5 linked regions of the Danio rerio genome follow. Each later gene encodes a partner of the first gene's protein in a complex. Links are inferred from orthologs where the notes say so. Each region holds a gene or a part of one and is shown on either strand. Other genes may lie near its edges.

Region 1 (6,465 bases):
TCATCCAAAGCCAGAAGGCATTGACTGAGTGATTGACAGCTGATATTTCAGTGCTAGAGCAGTGGTGGGCCAATAAGAAGAGCGCAAAGGCAGGGCACGCATTACGAGTTGGCTTTGTTTACTGCAGCTAATTGACATGACAACTGTTTTAAACCATTCCTGAGCACTGCGTTTAACATGCAGAGATGCATTCTGCATGAATGCCTCCCAAATCTGCGCATGTGGTGAACATTTTGCAGTAAAAACTGGTCGCACACAACAATTTCATGCACTCGCACAAATGCTCCCAAATATATTATGAGGTCGCATAGATAAAATTTCGGGCGCATATACGACCAAAATGGTTGCAATTTCAAGCCCTGATGTGAGACATCAGTAGGTGGAAACAATAATGATATTTTTTTTACATTTTTTTAACGACTGAACAATTTCGTGAGTTCTAATCAGTTTGATTTATAAATAGATTTATATATATATATTTATACACGCACACACACATTGTTATTGAATTTCTTCTATGCCATACGGGTTCTAGAGCTAGATTAAAAGTAGTTAAAAACAAAAAAAATTGCAGTAAGAAAGTAAATAAAGGAAAATAATACATGAATAACTTTAATTAATTTTTTTTTTCTTCAATTAATTAGTTTTTTTTTATCAATGATCGGCCCTGAGCTTCTTCCATAGTTTATTTACTTATGCTATTAGTTTTATTTATTACTTTACGTTTTTGCATTTTTATATGTATTGTTTGTCTAGTCTACGAGCTTAATGTTATGCTTTCCAATTAAATCTTAATTTAGCTTGTTAACACATTATTTTTGCTAATAAACATTTTACAATATTAACACTATTACAGGTGTCATCACATCACACAAGAATAATAAAGTAAAAAATAAATGAGAACCATTTATTTTCTCCAACTAAGTTTTGTTCTTGCTTACACTTTAAAAAGAAATAAAAAACAATAAGTTAATGCTTGCATTAATAATGTATAGATCATTTGGAATTACTAATAAATAAACACACACAATTAGGCATGGGCCAGTATAAGATTCTGACGGTATGATAACCTTGGATAAAAAAAATATTACAATTTCACAGTATTGTGATTACTGCTCTAAAATATATCATTTTTATGTCTTTGTTAAAAAAAAATGTCAGACCAAATAATTCAAATTAATAATTGACCTTAGCTTCAAAAACACTGATTTATTTATATTTAAAAAGGCATCTTTGGAGATCTTTTCTGCAGGAGATATTGTTGTCCAAAAAAACAACAACAAAAAAGCAAATAATAAAATCTTTGACTTTGCCAAACCCCGGTATACATTGAAAATGGTTATCGTCCTAAGCCTAATTCTTAATTTAGCTGTTAATATATTATTTTTGCCATGTAACACATTACAATATTAACACACTATTACAGATGTTATAACATGCAAATAACTTTAATATGTCAAATTAAACAAGAACAATACAACAATAAATAAATGAAAATAATTTATTTTCAATTTCTCTAATAAAGTTTATAATTTTGTTAATACGTTATTTTTATATTTATATATTACAATATTAACACTATTATAAAGTGTTATCACACATGCAATTATACATGCATAATTTATGTATAGATCCTTTGTAATTACTAATAAACATAAACATAAATAATATTAAATAAAATATAAAAATGGAAAAATGCTTAAATTAATGAATGAATATTCTAGTATTTTTTAATATTCTTCCTTAAAAGATGAATACGCAATTTTTAAAAATCTCAATTAATTTGTACATGCATAACAACCTTATCGTAATGCATGACAAAAAACATCTACAAATCAGGGATTATAAACCCAAGTAGTTTGTGGTAATAATCTCTGATTTGTAGATTTGTTTAGGAGATCTACAAGTACTTGATTTGTAGATTTTTTCTAGAAATGCTGAGACGTTTAAAATGTGTGCTCAAATTATATTTGCATTGTAATATGTGCATAAACCATAGAGATGGCTGTCATATCTTTAGTATTTATTTACTGTACTTATTTAATCCTAAATAAAAACGATTAAAATAATTTCACACAATATTTAGACAGGACAAACAAGAAAGAAAGAATAGCAAAAAAATAAATCATGTTGCATAAATTCATTTAAAAAAAAAACATATTTTTTAATAAAATAAACACTTCTTATAATCAATTTAACCTTGTGTGCTGTTGGGGATCTTTTCATACTGGGGTAATTTTGAGTATTAATTTGGCCACAACTCGCTCTCTTTCAGCAAATGGAATGATGTTTGTTGACAGACCATATTTTGACACATATTTTGAATAGTTTAATATATTAATGGTTTGAGAGATTTACAAAAAATGTAATACACTATAGGCAAACTGACTACCCTTTCTTTATGTTCGTGGCTGTTTTATCTCCATTGACTTCCATTTTAATAAATTGTTATTCCAAAGCCACGACACCATAATTATCCATTCTTGATTGTTGCTGGCTTTCCAGTAAATTTTAAGTTTGTTAATGCATTTTTTAATAATGAATATATTACAATATTAACACTATTACAAGTGTTATCACACATGCAATTAATGCATGCATTACTTATGTATAGATTCTTTGTAATTACTAATAAACACACATAATATTAAAAATAAATAAAATATAAAAAAGGAAAATTTATGAATATTCTAGCATTTTTTATATTAATTTTATATTTCTTTATTTTTTCAAATCTCAATTTACTTGTACATGCCTCATAACTTTATCATAGAAAATTATGACCAAAAAAAATCTACAAATCAGGAATTATAACCACAAGTAGTTTGTGGTTATAATCCCTGATTTGTAGATTTGTTTGTAGATCTACAAATCCCTGATTTTTTTTTTTCTAGACATGCAGCGACGTTTAAAATGTGTGCTCAAATTATATTTGCATTGTAATATGTGCATAAACCATAAAGATGGCTGTCATATCTTTAGTATTTATTTAGTGTACTTACTTAATCTAAAATAAAAACGATTACAATAATTTCAAACAGGATTAAAAAGAATGAATGAATAAATTAAAATAAATCAAGTTGCATAAACTCATAAAAAAAATTATATTTCTTAATAAAATAACAAATCTTATAATCAATTTAGCCTTGTGTGCTGTTGGGGATCTTTTCATCCTGGGGTGATTTTGAGTATTAATTTGGCCACAACTCGCTCTCTTTTCAGCAAATGGAATGATGTTTGGTGACAGACCATACTTTGACACATATATTTTAAATAGTGTATTCATATATTAATGGTTTGAGAGTTTTACAAAAAAAATGTAATACACTATAGGCAAACTGACTACCCTTTCATTATGTTCGTGGCTGTTTTTGCTCCATTGACTTCCATTTTAATTAATTTTTATTCCAAAGCCACGACACCATAATTATCCATTCTTGATTGTTGCTGGTTTTCCAGTAAATGTTAAGTTTAAACAATATAATGAACTGATTAAATGTTCTGCTTCACATTAAAAGTCTATTCGTGTATGTACGGCTCTGTCATGTCATTGTTATGATTATTATTATGATGATGACGTATCAGCTCTGTCTTACCTGCTCAGCATTGACAGGAAACACTCGCTCATATGTTCCCCAGCCACTATAGCAGTGTTTCGGCTTTACATCAGGCGGTCCGTCCAGATAAAAATGTGGAAAAAGCTGATGTGGAAAAGTGCCGTCCATGATGTCCGAGCGCTGGTTCAATCCACCGGCCCAGAAGACTAGACAAGCCCGGGCATGTTCACGCGAAAACCGGCGAGCACACGCAGTCCGACGGAATCCATTTAATACCACATTGTCACTTTAAGATAGTAATATGTTGAATATAAGTCTCTAATATAAATAAATTTTGGAAATAATAGTCGATAACGCACGTGTTTGTGAAAAACGTGGCTGACGGTTGACCGTAAGCACGAACGCCAAACAAACCGCGAATGAGCTGCTAACGTCATACACGCGCCTCAGCTGTTGCTAGAAGAGATACAGCTGCAGACTGAAGTTAACGAGAGTTGTATATAATATTTATTAAATTATACATTAATTGTATTTTATTAACGTCTACTTCTACCCCAACCTTAAAACCAACCATTACAGTAATGTTAAAAGAGTAATTATCTCGAATATTATTCATATTATTTATTAAATTACCCGTTAAATTGTATTTTATGACTGGCTATCCACACCCCAACCCTAAACAAAACCGTCACAATAATGTAAAAATATTAATTATTCGTGAACATTGTTATTAAGTTGATGCTATTTTGACGCTAGTGTCCACAGCTGTATCCCTTCTGGACTTTACCGATCACATGTCGAGGGAAGCTAGAAACTACAGGAGAACGTTCAAAACACCCGCCATAGGGCGAGCTTTCAAAACAAAAGCTTTTCTAAATAATTCAAAATAAGAGCCCGTTGTGTTGTACATTAGTTAGTAGATCATTAATGTTTTGTTTTGCAATTCAATTGGATTTTTTTTTGTTTAACTTGATGTACTCATCAAAGTGAATTATTGCATGTGATAACAGCTTCAATATTGTCAATATTGAAATATATTAATTAGCAAAAATAACATATTAACAAGCTAAATTAAAATTTAATTGCAAAACATAACATTAAACTAAACAAATAGAAGAATAGACAAGTAGTGCATATGAAAATTGAAAAACGTAAAATGTAAATTATTAATTAGGACCAATGCTTAAGTAAATAAACTACAGAAGAGGATCAGAGCAAATCGTTAATAATAAATATATACTGTATATAATAAAAATACAAATTAAAAAGAAAACCACCTCAGTGTTAAAGTCATTTTATTGAAAAAATAATATCATTTAAATAACAATAAATAATAAATTCATTAAATTACTGGAATAAAGTTGTTGTTTCGAAAAAACTTTTTCACTAAATTTAACGGGTTGTTTTTTTCAAATCATAACAACTTTATTCTCAAAAATTAATAACTTTACTATAAACATTGTGTGTATTTACCTTTTCCTGAAATGTAACTTTTTCTTGAAGAATAAACTTTTTAATGAGTTCTCAACATTTTATGTGTATTTTTTTCTCAAACGGTTAACGTTTGGATTTAATGTAACTATAAAAGACAGCTCTCGAAAGGTGAGACTTATCTTGAAACTCTTTGGTAAAGTGTTTATTTTTTCTCAACATTTTATAACAACTTATTTTCTTAAAAATTACCTAATTAAATTTCGCATTATAATGACTTTTAATATCAAGATGGTTTATTAATTATTTATTGCTTGACCCTAATCTTGAGATTGTTATTTATTACGTTTCCTTTTTTTTAGAATGTTCTAAAAACTAATGTTCAAGAACTAATAAAAAGTTATGTAAACAGCGCCCCCTGTAGGATTTGATTTATTCATTCAGTCATTCATTCATTTGCTTTTCGGCTTAGTTCCTTTATTAATCAGGGATCGCCACAGTGGAATGAACCACCAGATTTATACATTATTATTAATTTTTGTATTAATCTGCATGTGCTTTCAAAATACAGAAAGTGTATATATTGCTAGAAACTTCTGTGACATTCTTTTATAAAACCCCAAAATCCCAAATAATGGGTAAAATACAATACCTGACAAAAGTCTTGTCACCTATCAAAGTTTTAGGAACAACTAATAATAACTTGACTTCTAGTAGATCATTTGGTATCAGAAGTGGCTTATATGAAAGGCAAAGGCCTCTACGCTTATTTAACCAAAATAAAATATGATCATGCCTTGATTTTTAATTATTTAATAAGGACAGTAAGGTCTGACTTTGCTTAGACAAAAGTCTTTTCACTGAACAGAAATAATGTCCAGTATAGAATTTAAAGTCATGCTGCAGTGGAGAAAGAATGAATATTGTTTCTGACTCCATCATGAGCTTGGAGGACTGCATCCATACATCTCTGCATTGACTCAAATCACTGATTAATAAAGTCATCCGGAATGGCAAAGAAAGCGTTCCTGCAGGACTCCCAGAGTTCATCAAGATCTTATGCCAGACATGCTCAATAATGTTCATATATGGTGACTGGGCTGGCCAATCCTGAAGGACCTTGACCTTCTATGCTTTCAGGAGCTTTGATGTGGAGGCTGAAGTATGAGAAGGAGCGCTATCCTGCTGAAGAATTTGCCCTCTCGTGTGGTTTGTAATGTAATGGGCAGCACAAATGTCTTAATACCTCAGGATATTTGATACCTGACTTTTCTCAGGTAGTGTACTTGCTCTGATCAAACACCTGGACACCCAATGACCCACTGTAATCCGTTTTAGTGATTTTAAAGGTAACCAATTAACCAAAATGTAAATTGATCACACTTTTGAACTGCGTTTTTTGTCAGCTCTCTAGAAAACCTAACAGACTTTACAACACAAATATGCTTAGGTGAAAATTTTCTACAGGTTTAAATAG
Region 2 (6,459 bases), on another chromosome or scaffold:
TCTGCAGAAGTGAGAGCAGATAAGAAGGAGCAAGGCCAGAAGTCACTTTGTAGGCAAACATCAGAGCTTTGAATTTGATGCGAGCAGCAACTGGCAGCCAGTGCAAACGGATGAGCAGCGGAGTGACATGTGCTCGTTTAGGTTCATTGAAGACCACTCGTGCTGCTGCGTTCTGGAGCAGTTGAAGAGGCTTGATAGAGTTAACTGGAAGCCCAGCTAGTAGAGAGTTGCAGTAATCCAGTTTGGAGAGAACAAGAGCTTGAACAAGGAGTTGAGCTGCATGTTCAGATAAGAAGGGTCGGATCTTTCTGATGTTATAGAGTGCGAATCTGCATGATTGGGCAGTTCTAGAAATGTGGTCAGAGAAGTTTAGTTGGTCATCAATCGTTACTCCAAGGCTTTTCACCATTTTTGATGCAGTAATGGTTGCCCCATCCATCTGGATTGAAAAGTTACGGTGTAGAGTCGAGTTAGCAGAAACTACAAGCATTTCCGTTTCACGATGGCGCAGTGGGTAGCACTGTCGCCTAACAGCAAAAAGGTCGCTGGTTTGAGTCCTGGCTGGGCCAGTTGTCATTTCTGACATGGAGCTGGCATGTTCTCCCCGTGTTCCTGTGGGTTTCCTCAGGGTCCACCTGTTTCCCTCACAATCCAAAGGCATACGCTATAGGTGTCTTGAATAAACTAAATTGGTCGTAGTGTATGAGTGTGTGAGAATGCAAAAGTGCATGGGTGTTTCCCTGTACTGGGTTGCGGCTAGATAAGCATCTGCTGTGTAAAACACATGGTGGAATAGTTGATGATTCATTCCGCTGTGGTGATCCCTAATTAATAAAGGGAATGAACACTTTCATAACAAATCTCTCTTGACATTAGCTGCCTTTGAAAAGTGTGTGCTTGCAGCCATGCAGATGCATAAAGACTCTGTGTTTTTGTAATAAAAGCGAGTCAATTAGCAAAGGGGAACTCAACTTAGTTTAATTTTATTTTGAACAACAATATAAAACGTCCAAATTTATAAGTTGGGAGACCTAAAAATGTGAGAATGTACAAAAGCGCTGCTAATAGGAAGTCTTATTTGTTGTTTATTATCTATTGTATAACTGTAATGTTACTGACGGAACCATTTTGATTACAATACAATCATTCTAGACATTCAACATAAAAACAAAACATGAATATCTTTCTGAGATGTCTTTTGGGGATAGTTTCTGAATATTGCTGCCCTCAATAGTTACAATGCATACACCTGTTGATAACTATGGAATATTAAATAATTTAAATATGTTATTACATTTCATAAACCGTTTTAATTACTTGTGCTTACACTTGATTTAGTTATTAATGGCCAACATGTGTCCTGTGGATTTGAATTACCTTCAAATGCAAAGTATATCTATCTTTTGCTCTAAAAATGAACATTAGTTTTAAAAAATCATAATAATATTTAAGGAATTAGCAGTATTTCAGTATTATTGAAACAGTAACAAAACATTTCAGTATATCAAAAAGATAAACAGCTATCAATAATTAGTAACTCTATTAATATGAATAAATGACAATTGGCTGGATCAGCTTGTTCTGACATATACCTTCGTTATAAACACATTATAAATGGGAATGTTGATATGTATTAAACACATTGCCGAGAAACAGAAACTGAAAGGGTGAGGCGGGATTACGACTGCCAGTAAAAAAAAAACACATTACAAACATAAATACTAACAGTGTACAGACTATCTGGTTATACCTATAAAACATATAATAGTATATAATACTGACAGTAAAGTTTTGCAAACTTACCCGAGAGCTGAACGTTTAACGTTACTGGCAGTTTTTGCAGCTGCGACTCACTAACGTTACTTCCTGCTCTGAGACCGTCAACAACACCGACAAATCAAGTGACAATGTACGAAACACATTTCACTCATACAAAAAATCAAATAATAATTATTCATTAATAATAACACATTTCTGTTAGTAAATAAATGTGTTTAGACTGTTTCACAATTTCAGGACAGGTTTAATAACAGCGTTACACATGAATTAATATAAACCATTAGCGTTAAACAAAAAAGTACACAAATAATACGTCTTCATGGTTACGTACGTCTGTCACTAAATGAATGTTTAAAAACGTCGCCGCGAAGTTTTTCTCCGCCATCTGAAATTGCTGGCAGTAATAAAATAAAAGTCCCAGATGAACCTGTAAGTCTCTGCGTAAAATGGTAATGTCCTCCCTCCTGGCGGCGTATGACGAGATTGGTTCAATTCTTGCCAACCAATAGCATTGTTCGTTACTGTGATGTGATGTCGCTTGTGCGCATGCGTGAACGAAAAACGTTTCGAAGCAAACAGAGAGCTCACGCGTGAAAGGTAGCTAATGCTTTGAATGTTTACATTTCGTACTCGTTTGTACACTGATAAATGACAGGATGAATGATATGTGCGGGGTTTTATTGCAATTTTAATATGATGAATTACGTGTCTTGTTGGGTTTATAATGGAAGAACGTGTTTGTGCATAGTGCAGCATCTCTTAAATGTGCTCTTACGATAGGTTTAGGTCAAATAATGTGTAATATTCTAATGAATTTATTCAATTTAGACTATATAATCATGTTTGTGTGTTTGCTTTAAGCCATGGATTCTCAGAAAGACATTCAGCCCCCCAAACAACAGCCAATGATCTACATTTGTGGAGGTGATTGCTCTTTTGATTGTATTTATGTTTATAATCTATATGTATATTGATCTATTAGAAGGTTTATGTATTGATTATATTTTTGTAATCAGTCATTTCTTTCTTAATGCTAAACAATCAAGATGTTCACAATCTAGTCTGTTTTTGAGCTTGAAATTTTGTGTGTGTGTGTGTGTGTGTGTGTGTGTTTGTTTCAGAGTGTCACACAGAAAACGAGATCAAGGCCAGAGACCCCATCAGATGCAGAGAGTGTGGTTACAGGATCATGTACAAAAAGAGGACCAAAAGATGTATCCTTTATCAACTAAACCAATGCTTTGTGGTAGGCCTGGTTGATACGACAAAAAAAGTTGATTAAATTAATTTCACGCTATAATCCTCTCATTTGCTAATAATGAGATATGTCATGATATAGTAACTAGGGATACAACAATACAGTTAGCCTTAGTAAGAGGTTAAGGAGAAAAAACTTATTGCAATACTTCTTTATTTTACTTGATAGCCAAGAAAAGTACACTAGTTTGTAGTTTAATGTATAATAAAAGTAAATTAACTGAAATCTCACAGCTGCTGGTAGCTTATGTACAAACTGGGGAACACGTATATTCCTACATTTTGAAAATACACATACATGTGAAAAATAATTTCAAATAAACATATTTGATGTAATTTTAAGCTCTGGATGTTTATTAGTTTTACATTTTCTAAATGCATATTGTGTCACTGTTTTGGAGCACACTAGCTAATAGGATTGGGCGATGTTGACCAATTTGCCATCATATGATGTATAATGTGAAACAAAGTAATGGACGATAACATCGTTATTGTAGGCGTCAGTGAATTAATTATTAATTCATAACGGATTAATTATTTGTAGCCCATGTTTCAACTACCTGACCCACAAGGTCTTTGTTTTACCCATAACCAAATCAAAAATAAATAAAGTTGCACACAAATTACCACCTTTCAATCACTTTTTCCATTGGACTCTGGCATGAATAGGCCAATAGAGTGATCTGTGTCTTTACAATGACATTGACAAACTTGGTTGGGAAAAAAAGGTGCACAACCAACCAACTGTATCTGAGGTTTTCACTAAAATTACTAAGTATAAGCATGAAAGCGAAACACCGAAGCAGTGTACTGATGCTGTGACACATTACCTGATAGATTCAAAAGACCAAAATGTCTGAAGCTCTGATACGAATGTATACTGCAGGCATAACAGTGTGCATTTTCATCGATATCGAGTGGAAGGAAGGCTTTTCAGAAATGCTAGATGAAACGCCTGTGTGGACGTAGGTCGCTTTTGTTCTAAAATGCCATTTTAAAACTAAGATGTATTAAGGCTGATTTATACTTCTGGGTCAAACACCGGCGTATGCTACGGCGCTGACGCATAGCCCTTCGCCGTGGCCATCGCCGTCACTGACGTGCACCTCTCAAAAAATGTAACTACACATCGCAACAACGCGTAGCGCAAGCTCTGTGATTGGTCGGCTTGGTAGCGCTGACGAGTCTGGGCGGGACCGAGAGCTGCGCGAATGGCGCGACGCCGCGCGAGCGATTGTTTACAAGTGTGGAGTCCCGTGATGGAGCTCCGGATGGAAAGTTTTGTTTTGTGTTTACCTTATAGTTAAAGTTGTTGCACGTCCGCCGGTTCCTGCCTTAAAATGAGCGAGTTTGAGCCACTTGTACATCCCAGAAGTGTTCAGGAAATGCAAAAAAGTAGCGAAGAAACTCAACACAGAGGAACATTTACACCTCACTGCCAACTAGCGTTTCGGAAGTGTTAATGCAAACCGACAGAGACAGCGCGCAGAAGTATAAATGCACAGCCACGCGCGTTGCCTGCGCCGTGGGTTACGCCGGTCACCTGACGCAGAAGTATGAATCAGGCTTTAGTGTAAACGGGGCCTAAGTGTGTATTTTTCACAAACGGATTGCTGCTACGGTGGGGTGGAGGTTAGCGATGCCAGCTCAGCATCGATATGTCTATCGACGATGGCTTCGTCCATCGACCCAACCCTACTAGCTAATAGATATCCTTAAAACTAACATCTAAAAAAAAGTTTAGTTTGAGTTTCACAGGACCTTTAAAAAAAGGCAAACTAATGAAACTGGCCTAGAGAAAATTAAAGGGCGCCAACCTCAGTATATTGACCACATCTCAAGCACTATTTGTTTTTGTTCTTTACATTTTAAAGTATATACTCAGAAATGCGCTCATTCATGTGTGAACATATTTCTTACTTCATTTAGAACTTCAAAGCAAATGTTTTTAGTAAAGATGTAGAAATATGAATAAATTCTTAATAAAATAAAAACACACTTTAAATACCAAATGATTACAACGATTAATCCAACATAATGTAAAAAATATTGCTAAATAAAATGCCAAATGTAAACATTGTTCTTTCTAGATTGCAAATTTCCCATATGATGCCGTTGTTCATGTTTCTGTCTGCATCCGTAAACAAAGTAAATGATAGAGTATAATATAAAACAACAGACTTTGTTTATTGCACAGCCCTACTTGGTGGTTGAAATAAGTTTATTCAAACAAAAGTAACTTTATTCTATTATTTACTTAATTTCATTGGGCTATTCCAAACATTAACCATTAAAAATATAAAAGATGTTAAATGTTGTAGTTATGAGCTGTTCAATAGGCCATTAACGTTATTAATGCAATTTCATTTTCCTAGTTTTTTTCTGTTTAAATGATTTAAAACGTATCAGGAAATGATTATTTTGGGGGGATGAGCTGTTACTTTAATTTTTTTTTAATAATGTTAAGTTAAACTTGGTTCCACGCTATTAGGTTAGTATCTCAATTTTTGTGATCTTTGTCTTGTGTTTTTTAAGTTTTTCCCTTAACTTCTGTTTCCAGTGGTCGTGTTTGATGCCAGATGAGATCCTGCTGTTTTTTCTGTTATAGTTATCTTTTTTATGTCTTTGAATATGTAAATACATGTGTACAATTTGATTAGGCAGTAAAGGGTCAAAACTGAGTAAAATGCAGTTTTCAAAGTTTGTGAGTGAATGTGCTTTATTTCCTTTTTTTTCCAGTGTTTGTACAAATTTAAGTCAAAAGGTTTAAGGTTTTGGGTTGAATCGTGTTCAGTTTGTGTTTGTGTCTGTGTTTTGTATTGTATCAAGACACAAATTATACTACACGAATATGGTGAATTATGAGCGGAGTGAATTATGAGGACTGATGTCCCCATTTTTCCAAAAACTTATAATATAGAATGTAATATATGAATACATAAAAAATGCATATGAATAAAATCTTGTAAGTTTAACTAGTTTCCTGTAAGGGTTGGTTTTAGGGATAGGGTGGGGAAAATACAGATTGTACAGTATAAAAACAATAGAAACCTATGGAATGTCAAAGGTTCATAAAAAACGTGTGTATGTTTTTCGATCTATATTATTATTTGTATTGCCCTTATTAATCATATTACCAAAACCCTCCTTTTTCAATTACAACTAATTCAAACTATTAATTACACTACAAGAACTACAAGACAAAAATATTCTGTACAAATTAAATTGGATTTTCATGATCACAAATTTGCCAACATTTGAGAACATTTAAAAAAAAAAAGTCCTCTTTCCAAACTTGACTTTTTTTTAATTCTGTATGTTGGCTAATATATTTAGGGATTTCTGAGTGAAAACTCACTACAGTGTATAGTCAAAATCAATATTTTATTGTTTTACTTAACACAAATCTTATTTTTGCTTTGG
Region 3 (5,191 bases), on another chromosome or scaffold:
CAGCCTATTTTATGTAATTTAATGCAATTACATTTGAAATGACTTCAAAATTGGTGACGCGGTGGCGCAGTGGGTAGCACGTTCGCCTCACAGCAAGAAGGTCACTGGTTTGAGCCTAGGCGGGGTCAGTTGGCATTACTGTGTGGAGTTTTCATGTTCTTCCTGTGTTGTGTGGGTTTCCTCCAGGTTCTTCGGTTTCCCCCGCAGTCCAAAGACATCACATGCGCTATAGGTGAATTGCGTATGCTAAATTGTCTGTAGTGTATGTGTGTGAACGAGTGTGTGTGGATGTTTTCCAGTGATGGTTCAGGCTGGAAGGGCATCTGCTGCGTAAAAAACTGCTGGATAAGTTGGTGGTTCATTCATCTGTGGTGACCGCAGTTTAAAAAAAACCAAGCTGAATAGAAATTGGGCGAGGCAGTGCTGTCGCCTCACAGCAAGAAGGTCGCTGGTTCGAACCTCGGCTCAGTTGGTGTTTCTGTGTGGAGTTTGCATGTTCTCCCTGCCTTCGCGTGGGTTTCCTCCGGGTGCTCCGGTTTCCCCCACAGTCCAAAGACATGTTGTACAGGTGAATTGGGTAGGCTAAATTGTCTGTAGTTTATGAGTGTGTGTGTGAATGTGTGTGTGGATGTTTCCCAGAGATCGGTTGTGGCTGGAAGGGCATCCGCTGCGTAAAAACTTGCTGGATAAGTTGATGGTTCATTCCGCTGTGGCGACCCCGGATTAATAAAGGGACTAAGCTGACAAGAAAATAAATTAATGAATGAAAAGAAATTGAACGACTTCAATGACTTCAAAATTATGGCCAATTCCCCACTTTTTCAAGGTAAAAGTGTATAAACATCACGCATTACTTGTTCTTTTATTACACTTAAATATTTAAATACTTTAAATGTTTTAGATTTAAGCATACACATTAACTTGTGCAGCTATCTTTTTTTCACGCTAACTGTCTCTGTTTCACTAATGCAGTTGTGTTGCTTTTTTTTAATATAAGATCGTATTTGCTATAACTGCATAAGCATCAAGTTCAGCTGGAGAAAAAAAATGCTCTCTTTTTTTCAGATGTTGCTAAGGGGACTTGTAATATCTGCGCTCCATTAATAATACCTTTTTATAGTTGTGTGGTGTGCACGCATAAAGCTGCAGTCACGCTGGACTTCTCTCCCCATAGACTTTTTTCGGAAACGTAAGGTCGTGTGTCACTGCGTTGGAAAGTTCAAGCTTGGTGAACTCTGTCCTGCTAAATCGCATCACATGATTGTGAGAGACCAATCGAAGAGCAAAACGTGAACTCTGTACAGGAATTTAAAACATGGAGCAGTCACTCGCTTTTTTAATATCCAATCATCTTGTTTAATTTCGGCCTTTTGTGCAGCCCTGTACAACAGAATTTCGCAAGCTCAAACTCTAGTGTGACTACAGCATTAACTCTGAATCAGTCCACTCAAGACTTGGTTGACCTAACTCAGATCAGCTGTTCTGAAACTAAAAACTCTTGAGTTTTTAATCTCTTGGTAAGTCAACTCAGAGTTCAAGTTTAAAGTTCGAGTTGGTTGAACCTCCTTACTGAAACGGGTCCATTATGTCAATGATGAAGGTGCTTTTTCTTTGCAGGTTTATGTTATGCCCACACGGAATCTGCTTGCGCAGAATTCCGCAGATTTTCCACAGAATTCCGCAGATTTCTGCAGATTATTAGCCCATCATAATTCTGTTTATTTACTTGAGTAAATGTGTAAATCTAAATTTATTCAGTTTTTATTGAGTAATTACTTACTTTTTATTTAATATATTAAGGTTTTAGCTATGATACTCTGCTGGATACTCCCAAAATAATTCCGCAGAAATCCGCAGATTTTTACCAAAATTCTCAGCAGAAATAGCAAAAAACGTCCGCAGATTCCGTCTGGCCCTGGTTATAACCCAGTAGTATGATTCTCTTTCAGACTTCACAAGTCAAGTGATCAAGTCATCGGTGATGTTTAATCCTTTGGATCAGAGCAATGTCGCTGTTGAAAGTGCAGAGGATGCTGAATTGAAGGGGCCAGTGGTATGTTACAAAAAAAGAGTAATTGAGTCTGAAATATCATTAATTCTCTTTGTAAACTTTTTCACTTTTTTCTCACCTTCTGAAAACTTTTCCTTAGATTGACAGGAAATGTTCTCGCTGTAATAAAGAGGGAATGGTTTATCATACAAGACAGATGAGATCTGCAGATGAAGGGCAAACTGTTTTCTTCACATGTATTCACTGCAGGTAATTAACACAGCATGCTCATAAACCCTTGGTGCTCCTTTGAAATTTTAGAGAGTGACAAATTATATATATATATATATATATATATATATATATATATATATATATATATATATATATATATATATATATATATATATAATTTTTATTGTACTTTAAACTTTATTGGTATAAATAAAAACTTACATTAAGCCTCTTTTTGCACTTGCTATGTAAACAAAGACTTTAAAATCTTGGATATGGTTTGTAAAATTTAACCTTTCTGGAGAACTACAGACACACTTGTGTTGTTCACGATCAAAAATAAATGCATTGCAAACTAAATTCATCAAGCGGAAACGTTTGGTACAGCACCCAAACTAAACGTTATTTGTTAAAGCTAGTTTTTGAGATGTCAGTGTCATTTGAAAGTCAACCAGTTTATATAGTTGGTCTTGATTTTTCTCACAATTTTAGAGTAAGTACATTTACATTTAAAAACAATACGTTTTCTACATATACTATTATTTACTATCTATCTGTAATTCAACCAATTAGCACTAATACAAGTACAATTTATTTATATAGCATATTTCGCACACAATGGTAATTCAAAGTGCTTTACATAAGCAAGAATAAAAGACATAAAATAAAATCTTTAAAAGATTTAAAAATGATTAAAAGCTGATTCAAATGTGTTTAAAACAGGTTATTAAAGAATGAAAATGAAAACGAAAGCCGTAATGGTTTGATCTGTCGGACATAGCACAGTGCTCATTCAGTAAAGGCACAGCTAAACTGTTTTCAGTCTTGATTTGAATGTGCCTAATGTTGGAGCACATCTGACCGTTTCTGGAAGCGGATTTCAGCTGTGGAGGGTTAATAGCCGAAGGCCGATTCACCCCGCTTTGACTGAACACTTGGGATTTCTTATTTACTTGGTTCTAATGATCTGAATGATCTGTTAGGTTTGTATTCAGTTAGGTCTTAGGCTACTTTTAAATCGATTATGAATGTAACTGGGAGCTAGTGCAAAGACCTGAGGACAGATGTGCTCTGATTTTCTGGTTTTGAATAAGCTGCAACTGTCTGACTGTCTTTTTTGGGTATTATATAGTATTAATATTTTACTTTTTTTTGTTATAGGTTCCAAGAAAAGGAAGACTCATGAGAAATGTGTTGCTGCTGCTGTCTTATATTGATTGCTAGAATTTAATTGTATAAAATAATGTAAAGGTTTTGTTTGTATTCATACTATTCAGTGTTAATAAAAATTATCAAAAGAATGTTTGTCTTTTATATCTAATATGTAATTTTCTTTATATATAGTATAAGGAATGCATAATAAACACTATTTATAATTTTAAAAATAAAAGTTTGTAAAAGAAATACGGTTTTCCGAAAAGTCCCTTCCCACACGCGTGAGCCAATCAGCCTTTATGTTTCAGCGATCACGTGATCGTACAACATGGCTTCACACTGTCCGAGCTGAATGGCTAGATGACTGTTCATGAAGAAGTACAATGATGTGTATCACTTTATGCACTATTTAGTGCTTCCTAGCGCCTGTGAAACAAGGTAAGCAAATTGACTGTATAATAAATCTAAGTTTAAAGCGAGAATGACTACGATATATGATACATACATTTTCTAGGCATGAACTCAAGGCAGCAAGAATTTAAAGCATCTATTGTTCCTTAAATGCTCATTTCAATATATTGTTGTTGTTACCTTTGATATCAGTGTGTTTACGTTAGTGTAACCAACAAAGTAGATGCACTATAACATCTCAGTCAAAGATAGTGAACAATATGACTCCGTTTGACAGATAATGTTTTCTGATAGAGCCTAATGCAGGTCATTTTGATTTTTGTCTTTACATTTGCCCGTTTTTACCGTTTACAGATGAAGCTTCGCGTTCAGCTTCAGTGTAAGAACTTGCACGAGTATCTGAAAGAACTGACCCCAGAAATCCTCGACAGGCTCTACAATCACCCAGCAACATGTCTAGCAGTATACAGGTCCTTCTGTTATACACGCATTCATATTTACGTGTACACTCATAATGTTTTGCCTCTTGTTTAAACTGCTTATTTAAAATAAGCTGAGACAACTCGTTTCTTTAGATTTCTTTGGGAGAACCTAATTATATTAAGTTAATGTATACTCAAATTTGTTAAGCCAACTTAATTGATGTACGTTGTGACAACACGAATGAATTGTGTGGAACTTTATTTTGATCTGATTAGATCACATACTGTTCAAGCAAGTGGAGTTTATTTGGAAATAAAAAGCACAAATATTTTAGTAAACAGCAGTTCTTGCTTTGCTGTAAAAAGGACTTTTAAAAATGATACTTTCAATGAAATTTTTGTTAGTTTTTTTTTTATTTTACATCACAATAGTTTATAAATTAATATTTTAAAATTATATTTTCTAGGGGATGTAATGGTGCAAAATTATATTTATGTAGTATTTATAATCCATTTGATGATGATCTATTAACCTCTTTCCAATTAAAATTGTCGTAAATCATAAGTTTAGTCTTTCTTAAACGGCATTTACTATATTATTACTAAATCAAAAAAAGTTGAAAGAAAAGAAAGGACTTATATTATTATATAATGGAAGTATAAAACAATTTTATGAGGAACGTGCTAAAAACTATTTTAAATTCTACTATATAAAATACGTATTTTTAAAACACGTTTTACTCTTAAAAAGCAAGAAACTCAAATTCATAAATCTGAAACTGTTATTTTGCAAATTGAAGTTTTAAATAGTTTTTATTTTATTATTATTATTATTTGTGTGTGTGTGTGTGTGTGTGTGTGTGTGTGTGTGTGAGATCTTTTTTGGGTGGCGTAATAAACATTTCTACTAGTTTCCATTATTTTAGTATTGTCGTTATTGACCAACAATAATTTATATGTTTTGCAGAACTTCTGTATC
Region 4 (4,161 bases), on another chromosome or scaffold:
ATCTACCCTCGAAGTGCTGCCACTGCCCCAAATCTCCCTGGCAAACCTTCCATAATAGCAGCATCACATTCAACTACTCCTGTGGCATTTGGAAATCCTCCTCTGCCACCAACAATATGTCGTCCAGTGTCTAAGTCATCTTCAACTTCTAAAAGCAAACAAGCAAACAAAACACTTATGCGTTTATACCACTAATACTCGTTGTTGTTGTTAAAAACTAAGTTGCCTATTACTTATACATGGCATCATTAAAATACATATTATATAAAGTCTGCTAAATTTTTTAATAACGTTATGCAAATAAGATAGATAAGGAGAAAGATTTATCTAACAACTGAATCAGTAATAAGAATAGTATTTTAATCCATCGTTCACAAGAGGTTCCAGCCGACTTTAAATAATAAAAGTCCATGCAGTTGGCTGATGATAGCGCAAACAGGTGTCAGATTTACCTGCCATTGCAGTTTCTACAACATCTGTAGCGTTTTGTCCAGCTAGCAGCAAACTTCTCATTCTGTCCACTGCAGGGCGAGAGAAAGACCATGTTCCCACAGCTGCCATTTGACACAAATGTATTGAAATACATCTATTTATGTACAGGAAAAGTTCGTTTCCATCGTTTGTAAGACTTTAAAACACAGTTTTACGTCCGGGGGTTATTAAAGCACAATTTCAAAATAAAAGTCTATGCGTTACAAAGACAGTTTAAAGGGCCATACTATGCATAATGTACACAATGTGTCATTTTTAAAGTGACATAAACTGACTTTTTGACATGGCCTGACTTTCAATAAAATTTGTATTTTGATTCAATTTCATACATAATTAAGCAATAATGCAGTGATTTGAATTAATGCACAATAATGTATATTGCAATAATACGTTAAAGATTTTAGATTTATTTATTGTAAAAAAAATATAAAGAAAACAATAGGTACATTTTTAACGTTTACCCTTTTTGCACAATAAAACGACTATTTCAATGTGGTCATGTCATTGGCCCAAGTATGAACATTTTCCTGCTTGTTATCATACTATTTCATAACTGTAATGTTAGGCAATTCAATCATAAATTAACATTAAAACAGCTGTCATAACCTTATTTAGCAATATGTATTCACCAGTTTTGCATTCTCTGAAACTATAGAAATTAAAAATGTAAAACAGGAAATACATCGGGATCATTGTTCTTGTTTACATCCATCAAAATGGTATATAAAATATATATTTTTTGTATTGAAGCATATAACTGACAAGCATACAGGATTATATGTAAAATATCACAAATTTGATTTGAACATGCGAGCTAATAGTGCACCGGAAGCGCATATTAAAGACGGCGGAAGTTGTTGTGAAGTCTCATGTTTTGCGCGCTCCCTGCGCTTCTGGAACTATTCAGCTCGTAGCCAACCGGTGGATCCTGCGAATTATCGGTTTGTTTGGCTGTCCTTTGATCTAACACTGTTTCTAGACGGAGAACTGTATTACAAGTGTTAACTGCTTGGGTTTTTAACGAACATATTAAAGTTAGCTCCAAAATTAGCCTCGCTAAACACGCTGTGCTGCATTCCTGTTCTGCTCACTATCACCTCTTTAACATTGTCAACTCTGTTCTCTTGAATGGGAATTCTATTATTTAGTGTTTCTGTAGGTCCTCGTACTGTTGGTCAATTTACGTATTATACTTTCTTTATAAATCCAGAATAACGTTACTGTGTTCTTTTAATTTAACGTTCAGATATTGCATTAAATTTTCTCTTGTGCATGTCTGTTTATTTAGGTGCACTTGGGATTTTTATAATCGTGTCTGCACTGTTGTGTGTAATCGGATTTTTAATATTTGTTAATTTGTATCTTTTTTTCGTTCATTTTAGTTTACGTCTTTTGGAGCCACTGAAGTTTTATAGGGAAGCCCTGAACCACTGCTCTGTTGTTTTGCTTCATAACCCGTCAGCATGGAGCAGAACAACAGCCTACCTCCTTTCGCTCAAGGTCTGGCATCTCCACAGGTGAGGAATGGATTGTTTAGTTAACGGGATTTTCCCAAAAATGACATTTCTTCATTTACCTATACTCAAGTGCTTATAAACATTTATAAACGTCTTGCTGTGGGTGAACAGAAAACAAGATATTCTGAAGAATTCTGTGGAAACATAAAAAGATACAGGAACAAACTCCAGTAGCCATTTTTTTTACATTTCAGTAGAGATTTGTAAAAGTTGGTTGGGTTGCACTATAATGGAAAAGTCGGATATTGCGATACTTTGTTTTTCTATGCTAAATAAAGCAATACGAATACCATTTCACAAGATGAATGAGTCTATCAGTATTCAGGTGCAGAAACTGAATAACCACAGTAGAAAAAAATGCTTTTCTTACACTGTCTTGTTTCCAGTCCAAATATAAAAAAAAATTAGTAAAGTAAAAAAATTGTTTTGTTTTCACTGTTAGTAGAAATATTAAGTGATTTTCCCTAAAACAAGCTAAATAATCTGCCAGTGAGGTGTTTTTTTCCATAAATTATAAATTTCGTATAAAGACTCGGTCAGTGAGGCTAAATCTAAATATTTTTCAAATTTGATTACTAAAAGTGCAAGTAAGCCAAAAGTCCTTAAAACTATTAAAAAATAGTCCTTAAAACTATTAATTCAGTTCTTAATCCAACTATGTGCTCTGTTCCTGTTGTCAATCTGGAGACGTGCATAAAGTTCTCTGACTTTTTTACAAGATATTAAATCACACCTCTTTCCCACCGACATAGATCATTCTGATTCGGTCCCTCCATCCAACAGTTTCACAAATTTTCAGCCTGTATCTTCTTCTCAGCTACTTAATAAAATTTTTCAGATGAAACTCACCTTTTGTCCTTCAGATGTACTGCCTTGCCGTCTTTTTCAAGAGGTTTTAGATACAATCTGCCCCTCACTCTTAGCTTTAATAAACAGCTCCTTAATAAACAGGGTTTTTCCAGATGTCTTTAAACATGCTGTTGTAAAGCCTCTATTAAAGAGGCCTAATCTTGATCCCGCTGTGCCTGCCCACTACAGGCCCATATCTAAGCTCTCATTTTTCTCAAAGGTTTTAGAGAAAATTGTAGTTTCACAATTAACCTGGACATTTTTAATATTCTAGACCCTTTACAATCTGGTTTTAGAGCAAAACACAGCACTGAGTCTGCACTACTAAAAGTCACAAATGACATTTTACTCTTCATGGATTCTGGATCATCTGCGATTTTAATACTTTTAGACCTAAGCGCTGCTTTTTATACCGTAGATCACAACATATTATTGAAACGACTTGAGTGTGTTGTTGGGGTTCAGGGCCTTGCCTTGCAGTGGTTCTCCTCATATCTAAAGGGGAGATCTTTTTCTGTAAATATTGGATCCTTTACTTCACCACCTAAACCTATTCATTGTGGTGTTCCACAAGGATCTATTCTTGGCCCTCTTTTATTTTCTCTTTATATGCTTCCTTTAAGCTCAATACTCCTCAAACATAACATAAGCTATCACTGCTATGCTGATGATCTCCAACTATACTTTCCAATCAAACTAGGAAAAGATTTATCATTAGAAAATATTTTCCTATGCCTTACCGACATTAAGACCTGGATGACAAATAACTCTCTGCAACTAAACAAGAATAAAACAGAAGTGTTAATTTTAGGTCCTGCTGCTACCAACAATTCAATTAAAACTTAGCTAGGAGCCCTAAACGACAATCTGCACAATCACGTCAAGAATCTCAGAGTTATCTTTGATCCACTCTTGCAGTTTGACAAACATGTAAATGCGGTTGTGAAGAGCAGTTTGTTCCAGCTTAGATTGGTGGCAAAAGTTAAACCCTTTCTTTCTAAAAAAGATTTAGAAATCGTAACCCATGCTTTAATCTCCTCTCGGTTAGACTACTTCAACTCTTTGTACATTGGCCTACCTCAGTCAACACTCTTTCGGCTACAGTTGGTCCAAAATGCAGCCGCCAGATTAATAACAGGAACTAAGAAAAGAGATCATATCTCCCCTGTCCTCGCCTCATTGCACTGGCTACCTATAAAATACAGGGTTGCTTTTAAAATTCTTCTTTTCACTTATAAAGCTTTGCACAATTCTGCCCCCGCCTATGTCAGCGAGCTTATTAGGCCATATACAGCTTGTAGAC
Region 5 (6,550 bases), on another chromosome or scaffold:
ATTTGCCAAAAAAAATGTAAACAAGGCATATTTAACTATATGAAGTTTTTTTTTCTTCATAATTTTAGCTTTTGTTGTTTGAGACGCATTTGTGTGCTTTTGTCTTCAGTGCCTGTTCAAAGTTCAAACTATGATTTAATTTGTTTTCTATAACTAATAGGAGTGAACAAGAGTTAATGTAAGCTCTGCAAACACTAAACTTTACTCTGAACACTGGACCTGGTCTGTGAACTCTGTTAAACTAAATTACTAAAGCTGAAACTAAAAGCAATAAAACTAAAGAGAAATGTGTTCATAAAACGACACTAAAATTGAGAAAAATAGTAAAGGAAATGAACTATAATTAAACTGAAGTTAAGAGAAAATGTAAAAATAAAATAGCATTAACATGAAAACTAATTTTAAAAAGCAAAACAATGACTAAACAATGGCTTTTGATTATTATTTGCTTTTTTTAATAAAAATTTGTCAACATCTTCTTCACAGGTCTTCAAAACAATTTCAATTTTAAAATTCAACACAAAACGTACCACTTCAAACCTCGCAGTGGACACTGGATTTTCAGTAAAAGCTTGCCTTGTGTTCTGCAGGTACCTCTTCCAGAAATTCCACAGAACTTCTGTCTGTCAAAACAAAACATGACATTGCATTAGGAGTAGGGTTGGCTAACATTTGAACTTGATCAATTCCTATTCCAATTATGCATATCGACTTTGATTTTACAATAATAATGACATTTAACTTTGCCGACATTCTTTACCAAATGTAGCTACTCTTTTGATTCAGTTATCTAAGAAGTAGCCAGTGACCCGCACTCATTAAATTAAATGTTTGACTTTATAACAAGTATCCGATTTCTAATCCAAGTATCCAATACTAGAATCTAAATAAATCTCCAATTCCCAACCTTAATTTGGAGATTCTTTTTTTTTGTCATCCATAAAGTGATTCAGTAAACTAAGAAGTAGCCAGTGATCCGCACTCATTAAATTATGTGTTTTGACGTTCTTTATTTTACATTCTATTGGAAAACAAAGTCACAAACATTTCAGCTCAGTGATGTGTGTAATCAAATTAATCCCTCCACCCTCTTTTTAAATCTTCAAATCACATTTTTATCATTAATTATTCAGCTATATCATTCATTAAAAACATAGTCTGTAAGAGGCTTACTTCCTGTTTATTAGTGTCGATTGCAAGTGACATGACAGGAGAGTCCTTTTTGGGTTTAACCTGTAAAATGATCCTACAAGTCGCACTGTTTATACATTATATTTTACACTTGCACCCACAAAAAAAAAAACCTCTACAATAAAGTAAAACAAATTATACAGAAAATTACATAATTACATAAGAGATCAATGTACCAAATATAAAATCTAACAACATAAGAATACTGTGCAAACTACTTAATTTGATTCAGTAAACGAAGAGCACTAACCTCAAACTTCATACAAACACCTAGACTGACCAAAGCCTTGGCCTGGTGTTTGAGGATGAACTGAAATCCCTCACAGACCAACCACTCCCTTTCAGAATCTGAAAACAGACATAAGAGGCGTCAGGTTCAATTTTTCATTTTAGCACAATATCCTGTTAGAAATGATCAACAAGAATAAAAACAGTAAGTAAAGCTGGACTGACCATGTTTTTTCTTCTTGGGTTTCCTGACTATTGAGATCCTGCCATGCTTATGATGAAGGCTGGTAACATCCTCTACCTCCCTTATTTTCTAGAAGATGTTAAAACAAGCAACATGCTTTAGGTGTGTAAAGCTTATAACATCATGCCATTAAGATGAGACACTGTAGACAAAACAGTCATCATAAAGTGTTTCTTTTATAGCACTATAAATTTGTGCCTGCAGATTTCTATTATATTACACGTTTTCAGATGCTGTTTTTTTTTAAAAATTGGTTTTGTTCTCCTGAAATGAGCCATAAAGCTTCTTCAGCAAGTCTTACACCAAACGTTTTTGTTTTGTTTGTCAGTTTAAAGGTGCAGGAGGTAATCTGCCAAAATGCTATCCGTTAGCATATCTTAGAAAACCCCAGCCATCCCAAGCCAGGACTCCTGAAATCATGAACGCGCAGCTTAAAGTTGACAGCAGACAATCACTAGATTGTGTCATTTGCCAGTTAGAAAACTTTATAGTACTTATAAAACTACAATTCCGAACGACATACTGTATTATATATCTAGCACATTTTCAGTTCTGTCGCAAGCAAAACTTGTCATGATGTACAATATTTAATGCATGCAAGGATCGCTGGTCTCACTCTTTCACACGATTTGTCCTACAGCGACTACTGTATGCTTAGTGGTTGGCCGGTGGCATGCAGGAATTACACTTATTACTAAGCCATATTTACATGCTATTTCAGGCTGAATATTCAGCGTAGCATGGTAAACAATATAGGAGCACTTCACAGATTGTGAGTAGCCCCTTTCACACAGTGATACCGGTAAATATCCGGAAAATTTCCGGAACGACTTTACCGGTATATTCAAAAAAGCCCTGTTCACACAGGTAAGGACGTTACGGAAATTTTCCGGAAAAGAGCATTCACACATCCATTCCAAAATACCGGTAAATTCTGACATCATTCACCACAAATGAGCTTTAAACGGCTGCGCTTGTGTTTGTAAACATTTGACTAAATTACAAACTCTGTGGATGATCAATATTGTGAACAACTTTCGCAGGATCACTTTCGCATGTCGAGATGTTCATAATATCTGCGTGTGCAGGCGCTCACAGGCTGTTTCACAGGCACACGCAAAGCTTGAAGGTAAACAAACAACGGCTTATCATAAGCATCTCATCGATGATTATTTACACAGTTGGCATTAAGAAGAACATATAAACGTGATCTGACTAACTTCTAGCAGCTAAATGTGTCTGGAAAAATATTCAAAGGCTTTTATTCTCACAAACCCCGCGGACGTAAATGCGTCTGACTGTTGTGATTGGCTAAAGCAGACGTCTCACGTCAGCACGTTCTAGACGTGCACGCGCTTATTACGGGAATCTTCCTTCTGCATTCACACAGCGCAGCATTCCGGCAAATTGCCGGTAATGTTACAACTTCTCTTTCCGGAAAATAGCCAGAACGAATTTACCGGTATTTTCAAAAAGGACCTGCCGGAAAATTGCCGCCAATTTTCCGGAAAGGTCTGTATGTGTGAAAGGGGCTAGTGTTAAACAATGAACCAATGTGATTATAAAACTAACTTCAGCTCAGTAGAGCAGGCTGGGCAGAAAAGCGCTATTTACTGATGTTTTTTTTTTTTTGTTAAACTAAATAAAAATCTACATTATCGATGCTGTAAAAGGTCCCTTATGCAATTGAAATTAGTCACATCAATCGTTTGCCTGAAGATTCGGCTGAACAACACTTCTGTGCATGTAACCCATTCATAAAACCTGCATAAGCTTTACGTGACTAAAATACTATTTTAGTTTTCATAAAATGAAAAGTTTTCATTTATGTCTGCTTTCAATAAAAATAAATCAATCAACCGGGGGAGTATGATAATAATTAGTAATATTTATTTACCCAACTCCTGCTTTAATTAGCTTTTTGTTTAATGATTTTTTTTAAATTAATTAACCAATCATTAAATTAAATGTTAATATAACTATTAAAGTCAGCAGCATAATGAAAATCAGCAGAAAAGTGAGTAAATTATAATACATACGACAACTTCATACCTGTCCATGCATTTAAACAAGCTCATAGGAATTGGAAGAACTATACATATGTAAAAAAAAAGTGATTTCTGTCTATGTATTAATGTACTATATATTAAAATATCTATTAACCCACCTCGATGACATTGTGGCAGCTCTTACAGAAGAACTGACCCTCGTCTGACACTCCCCAGTCCACAGCAGCGCACTGTCCGCATGGCTCACTATATCCACCCTGGAGAAACAGCACCGCAGCTCACAGAGTATAACGAATTTCCACATAACACTGCAGACTGACAAAATACACACTAGAGATACTTACAGTAATTTGTTCGTCCATGGTGTAAACGTAAGCTGAACTTCAAAACATGAGACAATTTTTGTTTTCTGTTTTCAGCGTGAGCATACTCGCTTTCAACATGGCCGACTATACGTTTTTCATAATAAAAGTCACTCGTTTGTTCAGCGTAATATTTTACAGTAGGCCCTGGCCCACTGATCTAGAACCCTTTGGTAGGGCTATTTCATTTTACTATATTGTGTAATATGTATATGTGCATGTTAATTACAATTTTGATGTTTATTTTTTTCTTCGTTTACAGTATAACTCAACTCATTTACACGTATAATTTTAAACATCTATTTTATTAATGAAATGTAATTATATTGTATAAATATATGTGAATCAAAATAATAATAATAATAATAATAATAATTCATACTTCAAGTTTAGATAACAAGGCATAGCCCCCAATTTGCACATTGCCACATTGTAGGAATTATATTATCCCATATAATTATTTTATGTATTTGCTCTATATTATGTTGTTAAACATTTATATTGTCTGGAATGTAACTAAATTATTTTTAGGCTTGACAGATAAGTAATAATAATAATAATAATAATAATAATAAAGTATTGACTCTATCATGAATTCTCTATTAACTTATCTTGGATACATAAATTGCGATTCATAATTATTTTTATATAGAAATTATACATTTATTTTACTTGTTTTATTGTAAATGCATGTCTCTCCTGCAAAACAAAGATGTGTCACAGTCAATGGACAGTAGATGGCGCAAAAATCCATAGCTAGATAAAACTGACAGTAAATGGTGGTAGGCTACTCATTACCTGGATTACAATCAGCCTGCTTGAGTCAGAATTTCTATTGTTATTCTTTAATAAATTATAACAAATAGTAGGCAAATACAAAATAGTGTTCATATTCTCGTTTGCTCATCATGACCTTTCTATTGTTTGTTGTTAAAAACCCTAGCAAATTTAAGATGCCTCATATTTAACATTTAAACTATAAATATATAAAGTTCCAGTTAATGCAATTGTGGCTTAAATGTGCAATGTAACAAAAATAAAATAAATTGTGCCCATCAACAATGCTTCCTTTCCTCCTCCCCACCTCTTTGAAGAAAAGCTGCTTCTTTCACCACTGGGCCAATTTCATGGTTTACTGCCTCCCATGCGTTTCCTCGTGTTCTCTATGCAAAACACAGCATTGTTGGCAATGGAAATCAGGAACAGTCAGTAACTGCAGGTGTGGGTTTTGTTCTTCACACTGAAACAGCGGATTGCTCTCCCTACAGTGTGGCACGTTTTACATCCCCACTTGTCCTCCACAGACGCCGCATAGCGTGGATAGAGATTGTGGGAGGCTGTGGGCGAAAAGGGAAAATTATACAGAGTCTAGCTCACTTGCTTATCTGGTATATAAATATTACATGCACTCTCTGCCTTTCCCATCACGACTCTGCTGCTTCCTGCTGTTCACGGCACCTGAAGTTGGCTAAAAGGAAACAGGCACTTTCCTTGAGCTGCTCAAGACTGAGAAGAGAGACCTTATCTGTGATTAAACCATAAAATTAAATAATATATAAAAACGCTCAAGACATGTTGATGACCGTGGAGTCAATCAATCGATTGAGAGAAGTGAACAAGTTTAGAAAAGTTTGATAAATTCTCAGACATTTCTTTGTTATTTAAACCTAATTAGGCTTTACTTAAGGAATCATTGATGATAATAAAATGGGGAATCATCCTGTGGATTAGTTTAGGACTAGCTTCTTTGACATCTCTTTAAAAGCCTTTTGATTTTTTGTTTTTGACTGTTGTATCGTTGAAGTAACTGAACTGAACTGTAATGTGGTCAAATCCTGCCTGGATCTAATTTATCCATGCAATTCCCTTATTACAGGGGTGCCCAAATTCAGTCCTGGACGGCCAGTGTCCTGCAAAGTTTAGACACATCTGGGCTGGCTAACCAAGCTCTTACTAGGCTTTCTAGAAACATCCTTGCAGGTGTGTTGAGGTAAGTTGAAGCTAAAATCTCCAGGACATCGGCCCTCCAGGACAGAGTTTGCCTTAAAATAACTCCACACCTTAGAACATGGGTCTCAAACTCAATTCTTGGAGGGCCGCACAGTTTTAAGCTGCGGTCACACTAGAGTTCAAGCATGCGAAATTCTGTAGTATGATGCTGCGAAAAGTGGCGGGATTAAACAAGATTACTAGACATTTAAAAAAGTGAGTCATTGGTCCATATTGGCACCAAGCTTGAACTTTCTAACGCAGCGAACTGCAAAACTTGTCGCACAAGCTTGTGTTTCTGGTCTGATGCATTTGCGTGCGTATGAATGGAAGTCTAAGGGGAGAAAAGTGCAGTGTGACCGCAGCTTCGCTCCAACCCTAATCAAACACAGCTGATTCAAATAATCGAGGTGTTCGAAATCCATGCTTTAGAATGTTCTTCAGCCAATCAAAATCCATCATTTAATAGCCCCCATAGTATAGACGAATTACCAAACTACGTCACACATGACGTCACACAGTTTCCC

What was found.
Region 2: taf1c (region 1) and polr2k share a complex: the UniProt entries of both Homo sapiens proteins name them as parts of the pol I pre-initiation complex. The link is inferred for Danio rerio from reciprocal best matches to the Homo sapiens genes TAF1C and POLR2K.
Region 3: taf1c (region 1) and polr1h share a complex: the UniProt entries of both Homo sapiens proteins name them as parts of the pol I pre-initiation complex. The link is inferred for Danio rerio from reciprocal best matches to the Homo sapiens genes TAF1C and POLR1H.
Region 4: taf1c (region 1) and tbp share a complex: the UniProt entries of both Homo sapiens proteins name them as parts of the transcription factor SL1/TIF-IB complex. The link is inferred for Danio rerio from reciprocal best matches to the Homo sapiens genes TAF1C and TBP.
Region 5: taf1c (region 1) and taf1b share a complex: the UniProt entries of both Homo sapiens proteins name them as parts of the transcription factor SL1/TIF-IB complex. The link is inferred for Danio rerio from reciprocal best matches to the Homo sapiens genes TAF1C and TAF1B.

The regions. Positions count from the first base shown.
Region 1 is NC_133196.1:7,091,187-7,097,651, forward strand, and holds the start of taf1c (TATA box-binding protein-associated factor RNA polymerase I subunit C), read right to left. Parts: upstream 3,979-6,465; 5' UTR 3,726-3,978; coding exon 3,597-3,725; intron 1-3,596. UniProt on the Homo sapiens protein: Component of the transcription factor SL1/TIF-IB complex, which is involved in the assembly of the PIC (pre-initiation complex) during RNA polymerase I-dependent transcription.
Region 2 is NC_133194.1:13,080,073-13,086,531, forward strand, and holds polr2k (DNA-directed RNA polymerases I, II, and III subunit RPABC4), read left to right. Parts: upstream 1-2,296; 5' UTR 2,297-2,376; intron 2,377-2,640; 5' UTR 2,641-2,642; coding exon 2,643-2,703; intron 2,704-2,900; coding exon 2,901-2,993; intron 2,994-5,596; coding exon 5,597-5,619; 3' UTR 5,620-5,744; downstream 5,745-6,459. UniProt on the Homo sapiens protein: DNA-dependent RNA polymerase catalyzes the transcription of DNA into RNA using the four ribonucleoside triphosphates as substrates.
Region 3 is NC_133194.1:29,749,608-29,754,798, reverse strand, and holds the end of polr1h (DNA-directed RNA polymerase I subunit RPA12), read left to right. Parts: intron 1-1,949; coding exon 1,950-2,053; intron 2,054-2,150; coding exon 2,151-2,260; intron 2,261-3,385; coding exon 3,386-3,410; 3' UTR 3,411-3,525; downstream 3,526-5,191. UniProt on the Homo sapiens protein: Core component of RNA polymerase I (Pol I), a DNA-dependent RNA polymerase which synthesizes ribosomal RNA precursors using the four ribonucleoside triphosphates as substrates. Can mediate Pol I proofreading of the nascent RNA transcript.
Region 4 is NC_133188.1:27,610,667-27,614,827, reverse strand, and holds the start of tbp (TATA-box-binding protein), read left to right. Parts: upstream 1-1,361; 5' UTR 1,362-1,433; intron 1,434-1,874; 5' UTR 1,875-1,955; coding exon 1,956-2,009; intron 2,010-2,858; exon of another isoform or gene 2,859-2,943; intron 2,944-4,161. Other genes in the region: zgc:153169 (uncharacterized protein), read right to left, coding at 7-148, 453-513. UniProt on the Homo sapiens protein: The TFIID basal transcription factor complex plays a major role in the initiation of RNA polymerase II (Pol II)-dependent transcription.
Region 5 is NC_133195.1:32,284,941-32,291,490, forward strand, and holds the start of taf1b (TATA box-binding protein-associated factor RNA polymerase I subunit B), read right to left. Parts: upstream 4,128-6,550; 5' UTR 4,035-4,127; coding exon of another isoform or gene 4,017-4,034; intron 3,930-4,016; coding exon of another isoform or gene 3,831-3,929; intron 1,733-3,830; coding exon of another isoform or gene 1,645-1,732; intron 1,540-1,644; coding exon of another isoform or gene 1,442-1,539; 5' UTR 1,207-1,441; coding exon 1,174-1,206; intron 624-1,173; coding exon 531-623; intron 1-530. UniProt on the Homo sapiens protein: Component of RNA polymerase I core factor complex that acts as a GTF2B/TFIIB-like factor and plays a key role in multiple steps during transcription initiation such as pre-initiation complex (PIC) assembly and postpolymerase recruitment events in polymerase I (Pol I) transcription.